3 linked regions of the Lonchura striata genome follow. The protein of the gene in region 2 interacts with the protein of the main gene of each other region in a pairwise test. Links are inferred from orthologs where the notes say so. Each region holds a gene or a part of one and is shown on either strand. Other genes may lie near its edges.

Region 1 (7,691 bases), on a different chromosome or scaffold from region 2:
TCAGAATATTCTGAGTCTATGAATCCACCACTGCAGGTTCCTCTAAGGCTTAGGGGCCTCCTTACTTGTTCCATCTCCTCCACAGCATCCTTGACCACACCTAGACATGAAGTCAGAGCTGACACAACTGCTGCCTGGTTATCTGCAAAAGCAAAAGGACAAAAACTGTGGCACCTCACTGTTTCCAGTCAGTGTGCAACAACCTCCATCTAGGCTTGCAATCACTGTAGGATCAAACTTCTTGCAGAGCTCAGAGCTGCACTGTTGTCAGGCAAATAATCTGACCTGGTTTCCAAGCTTATACATTTCAAAACCAGTCAGGTTTTTGAGTTATTCTGCATTCAGCCTTCATTGTACCAGCTGGAATGTCCTTGCAAAAGCTACTGATGTTCCAAGACAATACGTCCTAGTGCTATTGCTCTGCATTTACAACACTCACCTCGTGGCAGGTTAGACACTTGCTCACAGGCCTCCCACACACCTCCAGTTGATATTAGCTGTTCCTGAGACAAGCTGAAATGAAACAAAACAAAACCCTCAAGGTTAGAGTCAATAACAGCATTGTGCTAGACTGTGGTTAAATTTTCTGATGATAAACACCAGCAAAAGTTCTGCTGCAAAGACGTCACCAACCAGCTTATCACTAGTATGGCATGTCCGTGTAAAGGTCTTGCTGCTTCCTAACAAGCATATTTGCAACTTTTTCTTGCCCTTTTTCCCAAAAATTTAAAAAAAAATCACAGAACCATGCAATTGAAAATTACAACCTCTCCACTGGAGCATTGAGAATTGTGTCTGTGAGTTGGATCATCCCTTCCACTACTTCAGTGGTAGCATCTCGAACCATCTTCCGAAGAGTAGTACCTGGTTGAGATTGAGAAAGAGCAAGAAAGTTGGCACAAAGTCAGCACTGGCAGGAAGCAAGTGCTGAGGATGAACACACAGACTGCTCTGTTTGTGTGGATACACTGTATAAATGAAGTCATTTGAAGAAAGGAAAATGCTTCCCAGTTCCAAAAAAAACTCTGGACAAGGATTTCGACACTGCATGAACTTCAATGCTCAGTCAACTACACAACTTCCTACATTATCACTCTCCCACAGATGGAAAACTGCAGCAGCAGACAGACAAGTACCTCACTCATAAACACGTTCAAAGTCTACAGAACAGCTGATAATGGGATACCATGCTAACGAAAACTTGCTGATTCCAGAACTCGTTAGCTCTGAAACACTCAGTTTTTCTACATAGTGGTGGTCAAAGAACCACCATCCTATACAGCAGTGACTGCCTTGCTGTCATTATCTCACCTTGGCCCTTGGGTAGCCAGTAATACACCGTGGCTACTGCAAGGATGGCATTTTGGACATCCTCACTCAGCTTCCGGCAGTTCTGAAAATGGAGAGGCAAAAGGATCACCCATGAGTAACACACATCTGCACCACATTTAGAAATCCTCACAAACAATCACTGGCTTTCAGACTGCTCCGAGAAAAGGGAAAATAACAACGGCCAGTCTGCTTGAGAAACAAACACAGCACGAAAAAAAGACACCATAAGCAAGCTGTATGCATCTCAACCTGCCTCATGATTTAGTAACAAAACACTCCTGCTGTGGTGGTTATTCATCAGAGAAGAAAAAGTAACTTAGATCATTACTCTGAATGAAGGTATTTTCTTCTCTCTCCTCCAAACACCTGTATGATAAACTTCTCTCCACTGATAGCAAAAATATTGCATATTCTTTGTTAAACCTAAGGTCTGTATTCTCCAATAATCTATCTCCATCAACAATGAGCTGTAGCTGTGAAAGAATACAAGAACATTTTTATTTAGTATATTTCCCTACCTTAGAGAAATTTGTTCTCTGGGCAGTTATTGGATTCTATCAATACCCTCTACAGTACACAACCCATTTAGTCAAATGAATCAAGAAATACCTGAAGCTTGCAAACACACTGCAATTTCACAGTCTGTCGAGGCTTTCTCTCACCTCTGCAGAAGGTAGTGGAGGCCTTGAGAATGCCAGACTCAGCTTTGTAGCTTCCTGTGATGTTACTTGGAATGTCTGACCTAAAAAAATCCAATGGGAGCAAAAGAAGAGAAAGAAACTCAGGTAAAAGATAAAAGAACAGAGCAGCTTGATGAGCAGCACCTCTGATCCTACTACTTGCTTACCATTACACCTAAGCCATACAAAAACATAAACCACAAAGAAAAATTCCCTGGTGCATTTGTGCCATGCATGTTGCTTGTGTCCTGTGTCTGCTTTTTCTCACTTGGCTGGTAGTGATAGCCAGAAGCCCAATCTGCATCCTGGTTCATGACCTCTTCACCAGGATGTGCCAGGAGGCTATAACAGAGACCTTTATAAATCTTGTATGAAAAGTTCAATACCGGCCTTTGCTTTGCCACACCTTGGAGCGCTTGGTGAGCAGAGTTAGTGGTCAGGCACTGGAATAGGCTGGCCTCGGAGGTGATGGAGTCACTAACCCTGGGGATATTTAGGAGGCTGACGTGGTTTAGGGCTTACAGACATAGCGCTGGGTTAACGGTTGGACTTGATCTTAAAGCTCTGTCTCTTCCAGCCTTGCCCATTCCGTGACTCCGCGAGCGGAGGGCACGCCCCACAGCTGCAGACCCGCCGGGGACAGCGGCCCTACCGCGGAGCGGCGCCGCGGGTACCCGGCCCCGGCCCCCACCGAGTCCCGGCCCGGCCCGGCCGCCCCCGCCCGTACCTAGCGCGTCCCAGAAGCGCGGCAGCTCGAACGGCTCTCGGCCCTCGCCCGGCTCTCCCTCTGCAACGGCACAGACACAGCTCAGCCCGCGGGGAGCCGGCCCGGCTCGGCCCGACCCCCGCCCGGCCCCGGCCCCGGCCCCGGCCCCGGCCCGCACCTCGCAGCCGCGCCAGCACCGCCCGCAGCGCCCCGCGCACGTCCCGCAGCGGCTCCCGCGCTTCCATCGCTGCGGGCCGGCCCCGGAGCGGCCCCGGAGCGGGCAGCGCGTCACGTCCGCTCCGGGAGCGGCTGGAGCGGCCCCACGGAGAGACAGCCCCGCCCCACAGAGAGACCTGCCCCACAGAGCCCCGCCCCACAGAGACAGTCCCGCCCCACAGAGACAGTCCCGCCCCACAGAGAGCCTGCCCCACAGAGCCCCGCCCCACAGAGACAGTCCCGCCCCACAGGGACAGCCCTGCCCCACAGAGAGCCTGCCCCACAGAGCCCCGCCCCACAGAGACAGTCCCGCCCCACAGAGAGACCTGCCCCACAGAGCCCCGCCCCACAGAGACAGCCCCGCCCCACAGAGAGCCCTGCCCCACAGAGACAGTCCCGCCCCACAGGGACAGTCCCGCCCCACAGAGACAGCCTCGCCCCACAGAGAGCCGAGCCCCACCCCACAGATTCAGCCCCAAAGAGACAGCCCCACCCCACAGAGAGCCCCACCCCACAGATTCAGCCCCACCCCACCCCATAGAGACAGCCCCGCCCCACAGAGAAAGCCCCATAGTGACAGTCCCACCCCAGAGAGACAGCCCCATAGAGACAGACCCACCCCACAGAGACAGCGCAGACCAGTTCGTTTCGATACACACTTTATTACTTGGCAAGCAAACAGGGAAAGCAGCGGGGCTGTGCCCCTGTGTGCGTGTTTGCGGTAAGCAGCGGGGCTGTGCCCCTGTGTGCGTGTTTGCGGTAAGCAGCGGGGCTCACACCGCTCTACATCAGCCGGCGGAGGTCCTCGAAGTTGAGCATGTTGTTGGCCACATCGGACCAGGCTGCATGGGTTGCCCCGTCCATCTCCGGGGCCAGGCTGTTGCTGCTCTCCAGAGTGTGGTTCGCACCACCGATGACTTCATGGCACTCAGGGCATGTACTCCTCTGCATTGCCCCCCCACACTCCCCAATTACATAGATATGGCCATTCTTGCACTTGAACCAGTGGCCACGGGGACAGCCAATAGCACTGACAATCTGCACCCTCTCAGCCTCAGAAATCCCCAGCCCTGACACAGGCAAGCTAGCATTGATCTTCTTCAGGTGAGCCTTCACTGCAGCCTCATCCTCCTCTGTGAATTTCTTTGTCCCTTCCAGGATCTCACGTGCACTGTTAATCTCTGCTGCAATGTCTGTGGACATCATCCTACTTGCTTTGCACCTTTCCAAGAGGCCCAGCAAATAAGTCAGTCTCTGGATCTCAGACTGCAGGTCAGTGAGCTCCTGTTCTGTAAAACTGAAGCGCTGCCTATCCAACCACTTCATCACTTCTTTCAGCCTTTCTATCACCTCACCCTGTTCATTCTCATCAATTTTTTTAATAGAATTAATTAGTTCTGCTACACGTTTGTAGAAATTAAGCAGATTCTCAATTAGTCCAATACTCTTTGCTGAGAGAGCAGAAGATTTTAGCTGGTTTTCCAGCATGACATACTTAGAGAATAGATTACGTTTCAGAAAAACTTCCCGCGCCAGTGCAGCCTGCAGTCTCCGTCTGTTAGACTCAATTTCCTCTGCCGGGCCTTGGATTTTCTGTTTCACCCGTTCTATCTCCTCCACCTGCCTTTTCACACTGCTGCCGTATCTCAGATTCTTTCTGATGGGTGTCTGACACAAAGGGCATACCTTCAGCTTGACGACATCATCATCTTCATCCATATAGTGGTCAAGGCCCAGCGACTCAAAGACATGGCCACAGTCTTCAAGCTGCACAAATCGAGCATTTGGGTCATCCTCAAAGCCAAAAAAGATCTGAGTGAGTTCCTCGTGGTCACAAACAAGGCACTTCTTTGGGCAGGGCTCTCCACACAATCCAACACAGGGATGACCACAGGGCAGCATCTTAGCACAGGGAACATTGCAGCGAGGCCTGTTGCACGGCTCAGAGCAAAGATTGGTACACTGGTAGTGCTGGCACTGCCACTCGCATGGCTCAGCACAAGGAACACAGCTTTCCCAACATTTCTTTTTGCACTTACTGTGGATACAGTAGTTCTGACATTCCTTCTGACAAGGAGGACATTCTGTAGTACAAGGCTCATGACACTTGTGGGAACAGATCAAGACACGCGTGCATGGCCTGACACATGCCATATGAAATCTTCCTCCAAAGCAAGAACCACAGGAACCTGAACACACATGACCACATGCCAGTGTGACAGAACACTTAACGTCACATGTCACACCACCTCTCATCCTCGTCATGCCAGCCATCCAGCAAGAAACTTCCTGCTCATGGCCACATTTCAATGTGATAGTAACCTGTTCAGAACACCACATTTTGCATTGCTTCCCACAGGAACTCTTGCATGTGTGTCCACAGTTTAACTTCTTCTGGCAAGGTTCTAGGCACTCAATTTCCCATGCTGGAATATGGCATGGCACCATCTGTATGTGGCCACACTTAGAAATCGTTTTCTCTACCTTCACCATACATTTTCCACAGGGCTCATAACATGACTTTGGGCAGCGGTGCCCATCTGCACAAAGTACCTTTTGACAAGGCTTCAGGCACTGGTACTTTTTGTGCTCTGGGTCATATGGATGACATACCCTTGTGCAAGCATGCCCACAACTCAACCTAAACTCACAGGGAAGAGTACAGCCTCCTTCCGGGACACTGTTGAAGTCTTCACCTGTAGATACCTTTGTCTTGGTTCCAGGGTGGTTTTGACAGCAAAGCTCCAATGACTGGCCAATGTGACCATTCTTCCCAAGGGTTTCAATGATCTTGTTCCAGAGAGGAACCTTGCCAAGCATTCTCATGTTTCCAATACAATAGAGGCCTTTCTTAGCTCTGGATAATGCCACACATATCCGATTAGGGATCTGCAAGAACCCAGGTCTCCCCTCATTGTTGCTCCGCACCAATGACAGCAGAATAATATCATTCTCCTCTCCCTGGTATTTATCTACCACATGAACCTTCACACCTTGAAAGATCTTTGCTGGCATGAGCTTGCGCAGACAGAAGAGCTGTCCAGTGTAAGTAGTGAGAATGGTGATCTGAGAAGGTTCATAGCCCTGACACAAGAAGTATTTGCAAAGTTCCACTACAAAGTGGGCCTCATGTGGGTTCTGGTGGCTTTTCCCTTCCTGGATTTCTTGTTCAGGAACCTCATGTTCCACAAAGAAGACATTAGTTGAGACACCCTGAAACAAGAGGAAGGATGTCAGAGAGAGAGAATTCTAGTTTCTGTCACCACAACCTGTTTCCATGCTCCTGATTATCCACTGACAAGAGGACTTTTGAGGAGCTGACTACAGTATGCAGTTACTGTGTACTTAGGTAATTTCCTCTCAGATTTCCATAGGTTATTAATCAAATTCCCATTTCAGCTTATTGGTAATATTTTAGTATCCTAATATGAAATCAGTTTCGGATTTTATTCCCTATCTTTCCAGAGATGTTTTTACTGTACATTTCCAGGTTATAGCAAAGAAAACATGAAGTGTTAGTAACTTCTCAAACCATACTCAAGGTGCGAACAGTGTCTTGTTTTGGCCCTGTGAGAAAAAGATACTAAGTTACCAGTACACAGGGCTGAGCACTTGCCTAAAACATGCCTCCTCTGTTGCTGCAATAAAAAGAAGCAGCAAGGAAGATTTCTCCTTCAACAGAATAAACTAGGAATGCTAGGACTCCGGTAGTCACTTACCAGCTCATGATGTGTAGAGTAGACTGCTCACCTGTTTAAAAACTCTATTTGCCCCGAGTTAGTAGGAGCTTTTAATGTTTTACCTATTAACTGGAATTATTTTACCTGTAAGAAATTATTTTTCTGCCTGCCAAAACCCAGAGACTGATTTTAACAGGCAAGAACAGCTTTTGTAGATCAAACACAGATCTCTTGCTTTTCCAAGGTATCCATAAGGGCAAAGTGTCCAGAGGAGCAGAATTTAATTCAGTCATCACTTACATTGGTTATTGTACTAGCTGGAAAAATACAAAGATTCAATTTTGATGCCTTTTGGTATCTGAAGTTTGTTTTAAGGCCAGATAGAACCACAAGATTCTCTAGAATAGATTCTTGTAGCAGAAATGGGGTAAAATTTTGTAGTCTCCCAAGTTGTTATGTCTTTTAGGTGGTATTTTTCTTATTTGTTGGGGTTTTGGTTAGCTGGATTTTGGAAGGGGTTTATTTGGGTTTCTAATTTAGTTAACTAAATTGTCTTCTTCAAAGACTTGATCTGAATTTCAAGATCTACCACTTTTCCAGATAGCTTATTCTGATAATTAAATCTTCACTATTAATTTTCTCTTGTGTGACTTCAGCATTCTGCTATAGTTTGCAGAATGCTTCCTTCATCCAGTTAAAGAACTTATAACTAATTAGTACTGGGTTTTTTTACGAAGACAGACTTACATAGTCTAAGGTTCTGTAATGCTACTGCTGCAACTGCCTCCAGTCTTTCTCCCAGAGTATGGCTTGTGTTTCAGAGATCCAAGGCCATCAGTGTAAAAGTCTAAGCTTGGTTCAGACTTCTGGGAAGTAAGCTGCATAGATTTTCTTTGCAAATGCCCAAATGGAGAAACCAAGGAAAAAGAGTTCCAGCAATCCTGTCACCTATTTTATGTTGGAGTTTCAATATTATCCATTAAGCCTTTCATTTAAGATTTCTTCTTAGCTTTCATGCTCCTACAATTCGTTTGTTCCCCCTTTCATTTTTTACTGTTATTTTAAAGTCATTGGTAT
Region 2 (8,063 bases):
GCCTTCTTTTTTGCCCCACAAAGATGACACTAACAAATTACTTCAAAACGTGACTAAACACGAACTACAAGACTGATGCTGTCACCTACACTAGAGATCTGTTTCAAAGACTGCATGCACTCCACATTATTTGTTTCCATTTTAGAGTCAGGACGCCAGCAGAAACACAATGGACCCAAGAATATGAAATAATAATATGTAACTGATCCTCTTATCTGCAGTATTTTGTTGAGATTCAACAAGCTTCAAGCTAAATCTTGGTGAGTTCAGAATCTGTTGGGAGCTGGAATTGTTGTCTCACAGATGGTGCTCACAAGGAGCTGTAATTCCCCATTTCTGGGCCAATTCTATTCAAAAATGTGTCTACTCGTCATCTCTGGCCTCCACACCAGACTGATGATTCTCTTCCACATCCGCCTGTGCCTGAGTAATTCCTTCATCATTTACTGGGTTGCTCTGGAGAGGGGATTATGGATAGAGGTACGAGCCAGGTTTAAAAACACATCTGTGAACAGCAGTTCTGGAAATGGTATCTCAAAATGAACCATAAATAGACACTGTTGTGCTCCCCTGAAAGGCAAAACATATTCTCAGCCACTCCCTAATGCTCCAGAAACCAGTAATCACATGCTCTGGAAGAGTAAACCTTAGACCAGACATTTTCACCAGTATCTTGAAAAGTAGCAAATCCTTTAACAAAACTGAAGATTTCCAAAAGGCCTGATGTAACAGCAGGTTTCTTGAAGTCTGGCTTCTTTCACTACAGCCTCTCAGTTATAACCCTGGAGTCCCAACTCCACAGAACTTTTACTGTGAAGATCCAGAAGATGCCAGGGATAGTCCTAACAAATATTAAAATGTTCCTTTGCCCTGAAAAAAAAAAAAAAAATGCTGCGCCTGCATGCTTCCCTCAGGAAACAGTGTTTAAGAGAGGACTCTGATCTCCTACCTTTAGACAGTCTTTAACAAATTACTAAAATTCTGCTCTCAAAATGGCCCAAGTGGTCTTTTATATAGCAGGTAGAGATGATATGCTACAGGAAACTGCAATCATCAGGAGAGCAGCAAACAATACTGCTATAAAAACATTCAGTCGGTTAATCTATAAGGCAGCCATTTCAGATCACACCTAAAGGTTAATTCACAAAATCTACCAGGGGTGGGGGAATCTCTCTCATTTTTGGTGAAAAGCAGGAAGATTTGGTAGTCTGAAAAAAAATGTCAGCCTCAAAACCAACTATCTGATATTCAAGCAGACACATTCAAATGCATCCTCAAATGTGAAAAGAAAAAAGGAAAAATTCAGCCATGGCCTTGCAGACATGAGGCAATTACATTCTCTTCCAAAAATTACCTAGAGCTTTCCCACAACAGTCCATGAATTATTATCAGACAGATACTGAACATTTAAAGAAGCTCCAGGCTAACGGATTCATCTCACAAGCACTCCTGTTTACAAATAAGATGAATGGGAATATCAACAGATATGTCTTTAGACTTTTTTTTTTTTAAACTAGTGGCATTTCTTGAATGATGAAAGGGCAGCTCTGCAGTCGGCCTGAAACACAGCTTCCTTTTCTCTCCATACTTCCTGCATTACATCTATCCATGCACTTCAGTTTCTTGTCAATTTTAAAGGTATTCAGGAACCTAATGCCCAGAGGGAGATTATCAATACTTATCGATATCTAGAAAACCAATGACAGCGTTCCGGGAGAAACAGATCACAACTCCACCTCAAGACTGGAGAGGAAGAGATAAAAGAAGAGTCACCACTGTCACAAAGTTTACACAGGGGCTTCAGCCAAACCCTTTGAGACACCTTGGAATGAGGGCTGAGAATGAGTGAGGACACCGAGCAAAAAAATGTGTAAACACATTCCAAGGGGGGGGAAAAACCCCCAACAACACAAGGCTCACGCACAAAAAAATAAGCCAACAATTCCTAAACCTAAAACTGAGACAGAGCACTGCTGTCTTCAGACAAAGAAACACAGTTCTTTCCACTATATTTTTATAAGTGAGCTCCTCAGTTGCACTACCAGTATTAGCGCTGGAAGAAGGCTCAGCATGGGAAATTCTGGCCATTGCAGCGTTTCCCACTGGTCACACCGACACCAGCTCTTCCTCTCCACTAAAACCCAGCTCATAGTAGCTCCTATTTTCCCGGCTTTAATCCCTCATTTAACAAAGTCCAGGTCGGGGGGAGCGGCCTGCACGCAGAATTCTCACGAAGAATTCCACTCCTGCAGCTGTGGACGCTGGTGAAAGATAACCTCCTCCTTCCGCACAAAGCTTAAGAGCGGATATATATTCAGGAAATAGGAGGAAAAGCACCGACTGTGCAGTCAGTTCTTTGTGTACACACCTTAACAAAATGAAAGGACACGCACGCACACACCCACGCCGACAAATCTGCTAGAGAGAGCCCACCACAATATGAAAGATAATGAACACGAAGACAAAAAGTCTGAAAAGCGGCACTGGGTTTCACGCTAGGCAAGCACAGCTTTCCCGGCTGGAAAGCGGTCCACGGATTTCCAGAGATTCCACAACTATCAGCATTTTTAACAGTGGTGGTTCTTCACCGCCCTCCCTTCAGCCGCACGGAGCGCGGGGCCCAGCAGGAGCCGCCCGAGCCCTGGGGCCGCTCGGTAGCGCCGAGATGGATTTTAAAATGTCGGGAGGCGAGCGAAGAACCGCCCCGGCGGCAGCGGCAGCACAGCCCGCGCGGCGGGGACGGGGAACCGCGCACTGACAGGGAGGGTCTCCCCAGGCAGAACCCGCCGACCCCCGGCAAGTCGGGGCGGGCCCGCTCCTTCCCTCCCTCCCCGTCACCCCGAGCAGACGGCGCGGACGCCCCAGCACCGACATCTTGCTCCCGCCGCCACCTCCCTCCCTCCTTCCTCCTCACCCGCAGCTCCTCGAAATCCGCCATTTTCTACCCGCCGCCGCCGGGCGCCGCCGCCACCATCATCGTGCACCCGGAGCGCGCTCCCGGCACGTGACGGGGAGGGCGGTCCGGCGGGAAGGGCGGCGGGGCGGGGCGAGGGGAGCTGCGGGGAAACCGGGCTGGCGCGGCACACACACCGGGAATCCTGGGGGAAACCGGGCTGGAGCGGTACACACACCGGGAACCCTGGGGGAAACCGGGCTGGAGCGGTACACACACCGGGAATACTGGGGGAAACCGGGCTGGAGCGGTACACACACCGGGAATACTGGGGGAAACCGGGCTGGAGCGGTACACACACCGGGAATCCTGGGGGAAACCGGGCTGGAGCGGTACACACACCGGGAATCCTGGGGGAAACCGGGCTGGAGCGGTACACACACACCGGGAATCCTGGGGGAAACCGGGCTGGAGCGGTACACACACACCGGGAATCCTGGGGGAAACCGGGCTGGAGCGGTACACACACACCGGGAATCCTGGGGGAAACCGGGCTGGAGCGGTACACACACACCGGGAATCCTGGGGGAAACCGGGCTGGAGCGGTACACACACACCGGGAATTCTGGGGGAAACCGGGCTGGAGCGGTACACACACACCGGGAACCCTGGGGGAAACCGGGCTGGAGCGGTACACACACCGGGAACCCTGGGGGAAACCGGGCTGGAGCGGCACACACACCGGGAACCCTGGGGGAAACCGGGCTGGAGCGGCACACACACCGGGAACCCTGGGGGAAACCGGGCTGGAGCGGTACACACACCGGGAACCCTGGGGGAAACCGGGCTGGAGCGGTACACACACCGGGAATACTGGGGGAAACCGGGCTGGAGCGGCACACACACCGGGAACCCTGGGGGAAACCGGGCTGGAGTGGTACAGACACACTGGGAACAATGGGGAAACTGGGCTGGAGCGGTACAGACACACCGGGAACCCTGGGGGAAACCGGGCTGGAGTGGTACACACACACCGGGAATCCTGGGGGAAACGGGGCTGGAGCGGTACACACACACCGGGAATTCTGGGGGAAACCGGGCTGGAGCGGTACAGACACACTGGGAACAATGGGGAAACTGGGCTGGAGTGGTACAGACACACCGGGAATCCTGGGGGAAACTGGGCTGGAGTGGTACAGACATACTGGGAACCCAGGGGGGAAACTGGGCTGGAGTGGTACAGACACACCAGGAATCCTGGGGGAAACTGGGCTGGAGTGGTACAGACACACTGGGAGCCCTGAAAGGAAACTGCCCCACAGTGGGACAGACTGGGAACTGTGAGGGAAAACTTGTCCATGTGCACACACACATGTCCATAGATACCGGTCCCAATTACACGGTGTTCGTGCAGCAGCTGCAGGGTGCGAAGAATTCAAATGGCCCTGGAAAAGATTCCAGAGGGATTACAGAATGACAAAATAGATATATTTCTGGAGATCACCTAGACCTGACAAGGCAGGGTCACACAGAGCAGGTCATACTGGAACTCCAGGTGGGTTTCAAATGTCTCACAGAGGGACACTCCTGGAACCCTGGAACCTCTCTACCAGAGCTGTGCCATCTTCAAAATAATGTTCTTCCTCATGCTGAAGTGAAACTTCTTGTATTTCAGTTTTGGCCATTGCTCCTCATTCGGTTGCTGGACACCACTGAAAGAGTCCAGCACTATCCTCTAGATCCTTTGAGATGTTTATCTGCATTATTGAGATCCCCTCTCAGTCTCCTCTAGGCTAATCATACCCAGTTTTTGCAATCTCTCATCACAAGGGCTACTCTAGACCCTTCATAATCCTTGTGTCCTCCACTGGACATTCTGCATTAACTCCTTGTCTTTCCTGTACTGAGGAGCCCAGATCTGGTCACACCTGCCATGTTTCTTCCCCTCCAGAATTAATACTCTGCTCTTTAACTAAGTTGTTCTACTAAAAACCAACCAAACAAAAATAAAAAAACAACCAAACTAGGAAATCATAGAATAAAATAAATAGAACATATTCCAGTTTGCAATTGAAGTGGATTAAATAGAAAGCTTGTGATTTTACAGCCCAGTTTATCCACCCAATCAACAGCACTCATAATTCGTGTTATAATGATGATGTAGCATGTTTTATTAATAAAAAATGAAGGGAAAATGTCATCAGCAGTAAGCCTCAAAAACTGGATAATGGGTTTCCAGCTGTAAGGAATGTAAATGTTAGGACATTTATGGAAAATAAACATCGAGGTGCAGCCGAGAATATTGTTTTCAAAAGCAGCCAGAGATCATTACCTAGTCACAATAATTACCTACTCACAATATTCAGTTTCATCAGCAACTTGGCTGTAAAAGCAAACTACCGATTTATTGCAATAAAAAATAGGAAAGACTCAGCCAACAAACAGGCGAGCAGCCAGCATAACCCAAACAAGAAGATAAAAAAAATAAAAGAGGCCTGGAATGCAAAACATATTTGCTCATATTAACCAAAAGGCAGCTTGTTTTGTACGACTGACACATCCAGAGCAGCAACTTCAACAGTAACGTATGGGCCAAGGGACAGGCCACGTCAGCAGCAGGCTCTGCAAGGAGGGATGCTGGCAGGCAATTTTAGGGAACCTTTTCTACAGGATATTGATCCCTGCCATACACGCTACCTATGGGCACTTAATGCCACTGTAAGACCTGGATTCCAAGGAACTCAATAACTAACATCATTAGTTGCACTTTTGCAACAGCTTGCTAAGACAGGCTTTCCTTTTTATTTACTGTTTACTCCAAGATAAACCCTTAAATGTGCCAAAGTTTTCCACTGCAGGCACAAATACCTAGTCCTCTGCACTAACAGCTTTTGTGCTTGGTCTTATGACACCCCTTTCCCCTGAAGATTTAAACATAAGGACTTCATTAATTTCAAACACCTTCTGTTAGTCAAAACCAATAATTGACAGGCTAATAAAACATGCCATCTGCCACACCACTGCATGAGTTCAACTCCTAAGTCCATCAAATGCTTATTTTTCCCTCCAATACCAAACTAAAGGGGCAAGCTGCAGGTTAGACTCTCTTAGATCATTAAAGCATGACCAGACCAAAGCCTTCTTTTGTTCCTTTAACAAACCCTCTAGTGTTCCTTCCTTCAAACACACCAGGAAGGACATCAGTGTTCAAGCTCACATCAGAGCCAGGCGGTTCTTTTCTAGTGTACAACTCACCTCTCACTTCATAACCACATCTTTCAACATTTCCATTCATCTTATCCCCAATATCTGCAGGGATAGGAGCAAATGCTATTTTTATATATCTCATATACATAAGATAATAATAGTTTATGTAGTAGCTTTCCACAATATTTTACTGAAGTGTTCCTCTGTCTTTCCCGCAGTCTTTGTACTACACATTCCATTATCTCCCCACAAAAATTTCTTTCAAATCTCCCTCTTCTGTTTTTCCAGTAACTAGAATTAATCTCCCTGCTCTAGTTCTTTAAAATCCTGCTGTTTTATAATAACTTCTCACAAACACATCAACTCCAGGCTTATACTCCACAGCTACCAAGTCATCTTTGCTAAATTTCAACATTTCCACTATTTCTTTTTCCACTAAACTTACCTCAAATGTCAGAAATTCTTCTGGCATATAAAACTTCTGCTTCTTCTTGGACCTCCATCTCCGAAACCCCTTTCTTCTTCTCCTCTTTCTTCTCACTAAACCTGCTGCTGCATCTCCTGAACCATCTCCTAGGCTCTTTCCTTGGGCATTTTTTGAATTTTCAATATTAGTGTTAAATCTCGGCCCAGAATCAGCCATTGGAGGATGAGACCTTCCCCAGAGCAGCCACTACATACTCCTATCTCCCAGAAATCACTGAGTTAGTTGCTGGGTTTTTATCTTCCCCAGTAGGCTCTAATTAGGGCACTTAACGAGCCTCTAGGTGCTAAGCAACCTGCCCTCTAAATTGAGGCTTGTTAGGGAAAAAAACCCATCTGGTTTCAGCCTTTTCTAGTAATCTTTCTTGTGCTATGAACAGTATGTCTGTATAAGCACTGCCTGTTCCCACAGCTGTGTTAACTACGGAAAGACATCTGAACATCCAAATAAACCCTCCCAGTCTTCCACAAACACTACAGTTAAAAAAAAAAAAAAAAAAAAAAGGCCCAAAACAACAAACAAAACCACTCTGCAGATGCTCGAAGGATTGCAACAATTGCTTTTATCGGAATTACACCTCATCAAACCCCTCCTGTGCTGCTTAACCAGCTGCTAATAGACCACAGGCAGGCAAGGATGGGGCTGGGGCGACTTGGGTGTAAAGTAGATTTGTTTTGTGTGTCCTGTGTTTAAAGGAAAGAGTTTTATGAGGTCAGCCTTAAGCTTCTCCATCATCTCTCATATCCCACAGTCATGTCCTTTTTAAGGTAACATTAGGAGTGAATGGCAAAAATATTTAAGTGGTTGTCAGACCTCTTGTGTGAGGTCTAGAGCTGTCAAAGCAGAGAGACTGAAAGACACGCTTAATCATGCTGCTGACAAAAAATATGTGTGCTCTGGCTATAAGACAAAATATTCTAAGTTGGATGCTTAGGCTGCACAGGGCTTGGAGAAACCTGGTCTAGTGGAAGGTGTCTCTGTCTGAGGCAGGGCACTGGAACTGGATGGTCTTCAAAGTCCCTTCCAACCCAATTATCCTGTGGTTCTCTGATTCTGCTTATTGTAAAGAAATAAGTTATGTTGCCTGCATTGTATCTGCATTTTCTATGCAGCTGTTTGACAAAACAGAGTTTGGATGTAATCTGTCAAAGTGATGCTGTTTGGGTTTCGCCCTTTTAAATTTTATATGCTCTCTGTATTCTTCACACATATATTTGTAACTCTGTCACTTATTGTATTAATAGCTAGTTTTCCCAGTACTTTTCCATGGCCTTTCCCTAAGCAGAAATACACAACAAATTCCAGAGCTCCAAGCCCCGGGGGATACAAGGCTCCAGTGCTGTCTTGGTTCTTCCTGGGAGCCAAGGCTGGGAACAGCCCTTGAAGACACATTTTCATGGACAAAGTACAACTGGTGCTGAAGGAGGGACTGCAGAGAAGGGGCTTGACCTGGGGGGAATTGCATCACCATTTGTCCTC
Region 3 (7,756 bases), on a different chromosome or scaffold from region 2:
GGAAAGGGAACGAACAGTGCCCTTGACAGAACACATCTGGAAAAATCTCCCTCTAGATATAAACTGCCATTCCAAATGACCACCTTGAATAGCAAAACCCTGCATGCTTTTGTGGGCAGAAGGAACAAAGCTGGATCAACAAAACTGCTGAATAACAAAAAAATGACTGTGTGAAAAAAGCCTCACTGTCACACCTTAAAAGGTGCTGGTCATCTGCTCAGACTGCCAGCCAGAGGAGGTTACTGAGAATGCAAAGCTTAAGATTTTTCCTGCTGCTGAAGAAATTAAAAATGTAAAATTATCTGACATTTCCTTAGCCAAAATCTTTCCCTGTTCACATATAACAAGTTAGCATCAAGACCCTTTCATCATCAGGCTACAAAAAATGGGGTTTGTTCCACATCCTTGTAAGGGTTAAAACCACCATAGTGCTGCAAACAGCTCCCACTGGCAGATCTCTGGGAGCATGATCTGTTAAAAGAGGCGAAAGTATTTCTGAATAACAACCACTTTTCCAGCAATATAGATTTCCATGCAGAAACCATGGCATGTGTGAGAGAAAGGGCAGCAAATAAAGAGATTTTGCTGACGTTTCATAATCACAAGGATAGACTCGGGCACAAGTGAGAGAGAGCAATTGATTATCTTGTAAGGGCAGACAGGTTGGTCTGTCTGCTGACACTAGCCTGGATCCATGCTTGGCTGTCTCCTTTTCCTGCTCTCAGTCCCTCAGGAACTGCTCCAGCTGCATCTGTCTGGCCTGAGCAGCCCCATAGTCACCCTGTCTACCAGCAAGGAAAGCGCAGCATATCCCGAAATCAGGGCACGCGGTCAAACGTGCCCAATCAGTTGGCACACTTGTCTGAAGGGAACAGGGTTACCAGGCCACAGATTTCAGAATCGAGGTGGTAGGGATGATCCATTATTCCTCAAAGAAGGAAAAAAACCAGGGGAGTCTCTGCCATCACTTCCCTCTCTCTGCATAATGGTATCACCTTCCACCGGCTCAGACATTGGCGGCAGCAGCGTGTAACGCATAGAGCTGCTGCCAAAATACATGCCAGGGCTGTACAGCCATCTCTGGAGCACAGCAATCAGTTGTGGCTGCTGCAGCAGCCCCTCTGCTCTGCTCCCTCCGTGGCACGGTCACACACACGCTGTGCCCACGCTGCTGCTGTGCCCACGCTGCTGCGGAGCTCACCAGGGCAGGGCAGTGCAGGGCAGCCCCAGCCACGCTGCCAACCTCACCCTGCCCACAGAAATTAAGCCAGCTGAGCAATGGGCATCTCTCCTCCCTCTACAGCAAGCAGCACATATAAAAATACATTAGAAGGCTGACACAGATTAAATGGAAACCTAAAATGTGTGCATTGATGATGTGCTGCATCTATGATGTCGTGCACATATAGCATTATACAGGCAATTCCACTTAAGTGTTGCTTTCCTACATAATCTGTTTAATTTAACTGCACTGAATGACATGCATATTGTAATCTAGCATCAAGCACTGCCTCCCATTCACTCCCCACACAGCTACAAACACAGAACATTCACACAACTAGTGCTGCGGTACAGTACATGACCAAACACAAAACCCATTTGTGACAACCAGCAATCCTCCCCCAGCCCAGGCACACGAGCCAGCCCTTACGCTTAGCACCTACAGAAAGCACACAAAGAACACACCCCACAAACAACATCTCCACCATCTCCCTCCTGTAAATCCCCCCCAGTTCAAGCAGAGATGATGGAGAAGGCAGCACGGGCAAGCAGCACATGCAGCCCCATCCCTCAGCACCCCACCACCAGCTCCATCATGCTGACAGAATCACACATGCCACTGTGTGGAATATAAAACATCCCACCGCTGCAGACAGATGTTGGCACACACACACATCCCTTCCTCGCAATTCCATGCTATTTACCCTAGAAAACCTGCTGCACACTCTCAACACAGAAATAAATCCTCACATACACCTCCCCAGCATTTGGTGCCTGCTAACCTGTGTGTCAAATCCGTTTTCTACCGAGCTACTCTTCCTTGCTGGGAGGCCGTCTCCTGCGTTTTCTTGTCCATTGGAAGATTTGAGAGGAATCTGGCTGGAATACAATGGCTTCGTCACCTCCACCTTGTTCCCAAACTTCAGGTAACAGGGCTGTGGGATGGTCCTGGCCGTTGGGACATGCAGGATTGGAGCAGCGCTGTGTACGGGTTTAGGTAGTCCCGATTTCATTTTGGAGGCTACCAGGATGGCTGGCATTTTCTCTTTCTGCTTTCCTAACACGTTTCTGTCAGCAGCAGCAACAGCAGAGACAGCAGGCAGGGAGAGAGAAAATGACACGCTGGGGAAGCTGTTCTGCTGTAAAGCAGCCTGGTTACTGCAGAGATCTCCAAAATCAGCTTAGAATTTAAAATCTACAATAAAACCAATTAAAAAAAATAAAAAAGAGAAAGGAAAAAAGAGAAAAAGAAGAAAAAACACACCACTTTCAGTCTAAAATATTTCTCAGCTTTATGCCAGCCTTCCACCTGTTTCCTCTAATTTTATTTTCAGTTCTTTACCACTGTCCTCTTTCCTATTTCTGCTATGTAACTTGCTCCTTCCTCTCTCTGACTCCTGCAATTTTCTTGCCTGGAAATGAAAGACTTTCACTCCATTATCTTGTCACCGCATCTTCAAAGTGAGGCAGCCTTTGGGGGAAAAAAAAAAAAAAAAAAAAGGAACCTGCTGCTGCATATGCTTCCCCTTCCGTACGCACTAGAGAGTGAGCGAGCAGGATTTCCAGCTTAAGATGTCCTTCTTCAGTCTTAGCCAAGAAGCAGATGTAGCTCAGTGTGTTAATGACTGATGCCCTTGGATACAAGCCTTAGTGAATCAAGCTTCTTAAGCCTAAATAGCTGTGAACAGGACAACGATGCCGGAGCAGAAGGAGAAACGTCCACTGACAGCGATTTTTAAACCAAAATATGTCAGCGGCCACAAAATTTCCCGGCTCCCCTAGTGCTGAGCATAAAAACCTGGACGGGGCGAGGAGTAGGGGTGGGAAAAAAAAAAAAAAAAAAAAAAAAAAGAAGAAAAAAAGAGATTAAAAATGAAAGCGATTCAGCAGCGAGAGGGAAGGGAAAGCAGCCGGCAGCCGATGCAGCTCATGCTCCCTCCCGCAGTGGAGCGGGCTCCCGGAGCATCCCGGGGGGGCCGGGACCAGCCGGGCGGGCGGGAGGCGGCGGCTGCCCGGCACCGAGCGGGCAGGGCGGGCCCCGGATTGGTCCTGCCCGCTCCGAGCAGCAACACACACACACACAAAAAAAATTAAATAAATAAATAAATACTCAAGAAATCGCTCCCTCTCTCCGCAGGGGGAGGAGCGGCTCCCGCGGCGAGCAGGGAGACCTGTGGGGAGGAGGGATCTGGAGGGATGGATGGATGGATGCTCCGGAGGCGCGGCACGGAGCGAGCCGGGGACCGGTTTCTTTTTGAAATTTAAAAAAAAAAAAAAAAAAAAATTCAAATCAAAACACCTGGAAGTGACTTATTGTTCGTGGCCGTTCGGGAAAAAAACTGCCGCTGCCAGCATCAACAGGAATTTGAATAAGCACAGTGAGTAATACGGCCCTGTTATAGCAACACTTGGCTTTGGGGAGGCTCTCAGTGCCGCAGGTTCCGCCTCACGCCGCTCGGTGGATGCCAGGACCCGTTCCGAGCCCCGGAGCCCGCGTTCCTGTTCATCCTGTGGCATTCCAGAGGTGCATTATTCCCTTCCTGCCACACCTGCAGGACAGCGGGAGGTTGATCATCCCTCTGGGAATCACGGCACCAAGCGATGCCTTCGAGACTGCCCAGCACCAGGACATACAATGCCACAGTGGCCAGCCAAGGCTTTGACTTATCCCTCACTACAAGAAAGACACTGAGGGGTTGGAGTGAGTCCAGAGAAGGGAATGAAGCAGGGAATGGAGCACGAGTCTGATGAGAAGTGGCTGAGGGAGCTGGGAGGGCTCAGCCTGGAGAAAAGGATGCTCAGCTGGGACCCTCTGGCTCTCGACAACTCCCTGGGAGGAGATTGCAGTCGGGTGGGAGTCAGGCTCTGCTCCCAAGCCACAAGTGACAGGAGGAGAGGAAATGACTGTGGCACCACTTGAGGCAGGTTCAGATGGGATATTAGAAAAAAATTCTTTACTGAAGGGATTGTCAGGCACTAGAATAAGCTGCTCAGGGAAGTGTTCACAAAACACATGGATATGGCACCTGAGGACATGGTTTAGTGAGAGTATGGCAGTGCTGGGTTAACAGTTGCATTTGATGATCTTGGAGGTCTTTTCCAACCTTAACAATTCTATAATTATAGGAGGGTGCCTCAGAATAATATTCACAAAGCCAACATGAGACATGGAAGCAAAAGGTGCATTTCAATCAAATCTTCATCACAGTTCCAGTTAATTACTTTATTTTCCTAGTAGGGCTGCTTCCTTCAACTCCTTATTCCCACCTCATCCATTCCCCAAGTAATGAACCCCTAAGCCACTGCCTGGGTGGCAAGGAAAAGATTGATCCTAGCACAAAGAGAGTGGTTTAGGTTAAGATTAAAAGTTCCAACCCCCTGCCATGGGCAGGGGCATCTTCCACTAGTCCAGGTTGCTCAAACCCCCATCCAAACCAGCCCTGAACACTTCCAGGCATGGGGCATCCAGGGAAACAATGAACCTACACTTGAAATATTTGAAATACACACTGGGTGCAGAAACTCAGCAGGACAGAGGAAGCCCAGCCCCACTGCCCTTGCCCCATCTAGGCTGCAAGCAGTGCTTGGGGAAGGACGGCTCATTCACGTTCAATCACTCATGGCAAGGGGAGCTGGGACCTGCCTCTTTAACACACAATCTTTTCAGGAAGTTTTAAATGTGTAAACCTCAGGTTTTTAGATCTGAGACTCTTTCAGGCAGAAAAAAGGCATTTCTTGGATTGTATTGTAGGTGTCTCCAGTTTGAAAGGCAGCATTGCTGGATCCTTCTGCAGATGTCATCCTCAATAACTTACCCAAGGTTACACAGTGACTAAGTGGCAGTACTAAAAACTAAAGTCAGAAATTGTGCTCTACTTATTATCAGGTACTATTCTTCCTCAACACTGCAATGTAAAATGTAATTCAAGTTCCCACATAAAGCTCACGTGCTCAGTCTTGGCTGTTGCTGGGATTTTTCAGCACACTGCTTTCACATGTACCACTTCTGCAGGCTGTTGTGTAGTAACTACAAAAGGGTAAATTTATGGTAGCTGTTTTTTTAAGTAACTGCTTCCACCTCAATCTCTTTATCCACCAATTTCAGATGGGAAAGCACACATGCCTCATCATCCACTGAGATCCCACCAAGACAAATCTTCTGCCATAACTGTCCACAATGACAGCTTAAACACAGCTATATAGAACATTTCAAAACCCTACAATTCGATAAAGAATGTAAATTTACCATCTGAGAGGACTGGTAGTCCTTGGAGCAGAAATGTGTCAACTGCTCCAACACCATTTCCATCGTTCCATGCTGAGAACTCAACCCTGTTGGCTTAGAGAAGGTTGGGCTCCAGTATGAACATCTTGAAAAAGATCCAGGCCTGAAAACGAGGCTAATTTTAGATCTGTAATAAAATATAGTAAGGTTTAAAAGCTATTAGAAGATCTAACTGACAGCTTTACGTTCTGTTCTTCACTTACACATTTTATGAGGTCCGGGCCACCAATCCCTGCTGCACCCGACTTGCCTGTTTTTGTTGTTCTGTTTTTATCTTGGAAAACTGGCTAGGGTATGGGACACCAAACCAGCCACAAAGTTAATTTGACCAAAAGAAAAGGATTCCTTTCGTTGCTCCCTTAACAATCATGGAATCTGATCCTTTGACAATGGCAGATTGGATACTCCACAGCTCCTTTGGACACTCAAAGGAGTTTTACTTATTCTCAGCATACAGTCCAGCCTACTGAATAGGATTTCTTCTGAATACACTCAGTCTATGATCCTGACAGACATTTTGCCAAATCAGTGGACACATTCCTCATCAAAGCTTAATGTGAATTCCTGATAATAGATTTGAAGAGTGACCTAGAATTACTGTTTCTCTCATGGAGTCAGTTTGCACCTAACAATCCTTTGTCATCTAAAACCTGGGGGAGCTTTTATGTTATACATATTTTGCTTTATATATCTAAACATCACAGCATAATGGCACTGAAATGCAAGCTGCTGTATCCAGTGGCAGTGCAGTTACATGAGATCATAAGTTATATCACATTACAGGCTTTATCTGCAAAGACTGGCAACATCAACTTTGGTCTGACTTTGGAATTGACAAGTTTTTGGGTTGTCCCGGTTTTTTGTTTTGCTTTGGTTTTGGATTGTTGTTGTTGTTTTTGCTTAATAAATTACTTTTTATCTGTTTTTAAGGCTAGGATTTTTAAAAGAAACTACTTCTCTTGGACAGTCAAAGGGATTTGGGAACCTGTCTCTTATCTTCTTTGAAAAGCCCAACCAGTTTTCCCTTCCCTGTTTTGGATCACCCAGATTTCTGTGTCTAAGGTAGGAGTAAGTAACCTTAAAAAGGAGGCAAATTACCTAAACAAAAAGCAAGAGCTTCATTCCTTCCCAGAAATGTTGAGTAAGCCTGTGACTAGGAGAAATTCCCTTGCAGCTTTAAGTCTGATGAGTATCTTTGCCTGAATAACTACAACATCCCCTCCTTATCTGCCTGTAGTCGAGGGAGCATCCACTCACTCCCCAAATGGGGGAATATGGAAGGGAAATGCTGTAAACAAGCATTTCCCTGTTAGAAAAAACAACCCATCACAATGAAACCACAAGAAACCCTACTGATTTGGCTTACACAGCTGATTTTGAAGCTCAGAAAGTATCCCTGCTTGGGGCTCAAGCTGTGACTGCTCAGCACCATGGAGTGTCAGCTCAAGTGCCAAGACTCTGGTGTTGAGAACTGGCTTAATACTCTCAAAATTTTAGTGAGCAGGCTCATGTGAACTCCAGAACTTAACCAGAACAGAACACCAGAGGAAACTGTTTGAATGCCCTGTAGTTCAAGAGCTTGCAGGCAAGTCAGCACATTGCCCAAAACAAAGCCCATAAAGAGAACAAAAGCCCAGGGTTGACTGCTCTTGAACAGATGATCTTTATGAATGAGATGAACGTTTCTGGAACAGCAAAACCATTGAAGCTGCCTCCACAGCCCACACATTATCAGTTAACAACAAAACAGGGTCTCTAAACCCAAGTGGAAAGAAAATGTCTGAATGAATTGCATGTGGGTATTGCAAGTAAAATTAAAAGCTTGATGAAATATTGCAAAAGATCAGAAAATCAGACCTTCCTTTCAACTTGTGGTTAATATACATCCTCAACAAAGCCAAATGTTACATTAGCGTAAATGGAAAAACCATGTAGAATTATGCTACCAATTAGAACACCTCATTAGCTGGTCTGGTGATTCAGAACTGCTGATGGAACTGAACTCAAGGCTTGAAAACACCTTGATCAACTCTATCCTCAGCTTTCAGGCATTAAGGATGGATCTGCAATCTCCCAGAAAAATCATTTCAAGCCGAGGTGAATATTCCTCAAATGTCACCACACAGTGTCAGAATCAGAGGGTTTAATTATTCTCTCAAAGCCATTCTCATCAAGCTTTACTGCTGCCAGGCAGCTGTCCTATAGACTGGGGGCATGTTCAGCCTTGGCACGGCCCCATCAACTTAAGTG

What was found.
Region 1: the proteins of PIAS2 (region 2) and CCNDBP1 interact in binary tests that used the Homo sapiens proteins (3 or more experiments, as listed by UniProt). The two-hybrid records come from large-scale screens. The link is inferred for Lonchura striata from reciprocal best matches to the Homo sapiens genes PIAS2 and CCNDBP1.
Region 3: the proteins of PIAS2 (region 2) and NAV2 interact in binary tests that used the Homo sapiens proteins (3 or more experiments, as listed by UniProt). The two-hybrid records come from large-scale screens. The link is inferred for Lonchura striata from reciprocal best matches to the Homo sapiens genes PIAS2 and NAV2.

The regions. Positions count from the first base shown.
Region 1 is NC_134619.1:8,496,959-8,504,649, reverse strand, and holds the start of CCNDBP1 (cyclin-D1-binding protein 1), read right to left. Parts: upstream 3,015-7,691; 5' UTR 2,964-3,014; coding exon 2,897-2,963; intron 2,800-2,896; coding exon 2,740-2,799; intron 2,075-2,739; coding exon 1,995-2,074; intron 1,394-1,994; coding exon 1,312-1,393; intron 865-1,311; coding exon 768-864; intron 514-767; coding exon 440-513; intron 143-439; coding exon 66-142; intron 1-65. Other genes in the region: ZNFX1 (NFX1-type zinc finger-containing protein 1), read right to left, coding at 3,718-6,147. UniProt on the Homo sapiens protein: May negatively regulate cell cycle progression. May act at least in part via inhibition of the cyclin-D1/CDK4 complex, thereby preventing phosphorylation of RB1 and blocking E2F-dependent transcription.
Region 2 is NC_134642.1:2,609,288-2,617,350, reverse strand, and holds the start of PIAS2 (E3 SUMO-protein ligase PIAS2), read right to left. Parts: upstream 3,028-8,063; 5' UTR 2,939-3,027; coding exon 2,915-2,938; intron 1-2,914. UniProt on the Homo sapiens protein: Functions as an E3-type small ubiquitin-like modifier (SUMO) ligase, stabilizing the interaction between UBE2I and the substrate, and as a SUMO-tethering factor.
Region 3 is NC_134608.1:57,024,903-57,032,658, forward strand, and holds the start of NAV2 (neuron navigator 2), read right to left. Parts: upstream 3,063-7,756; 5' UTR 2,262-3,062; coding exon 2,004-2,261; intron 1-2,003. UniProt on the Homo sapiens protein: Possesses 3' to 5' helicase activity and exonuclease activity. Involved in neuronal development, specifically in the development of different sensory organs.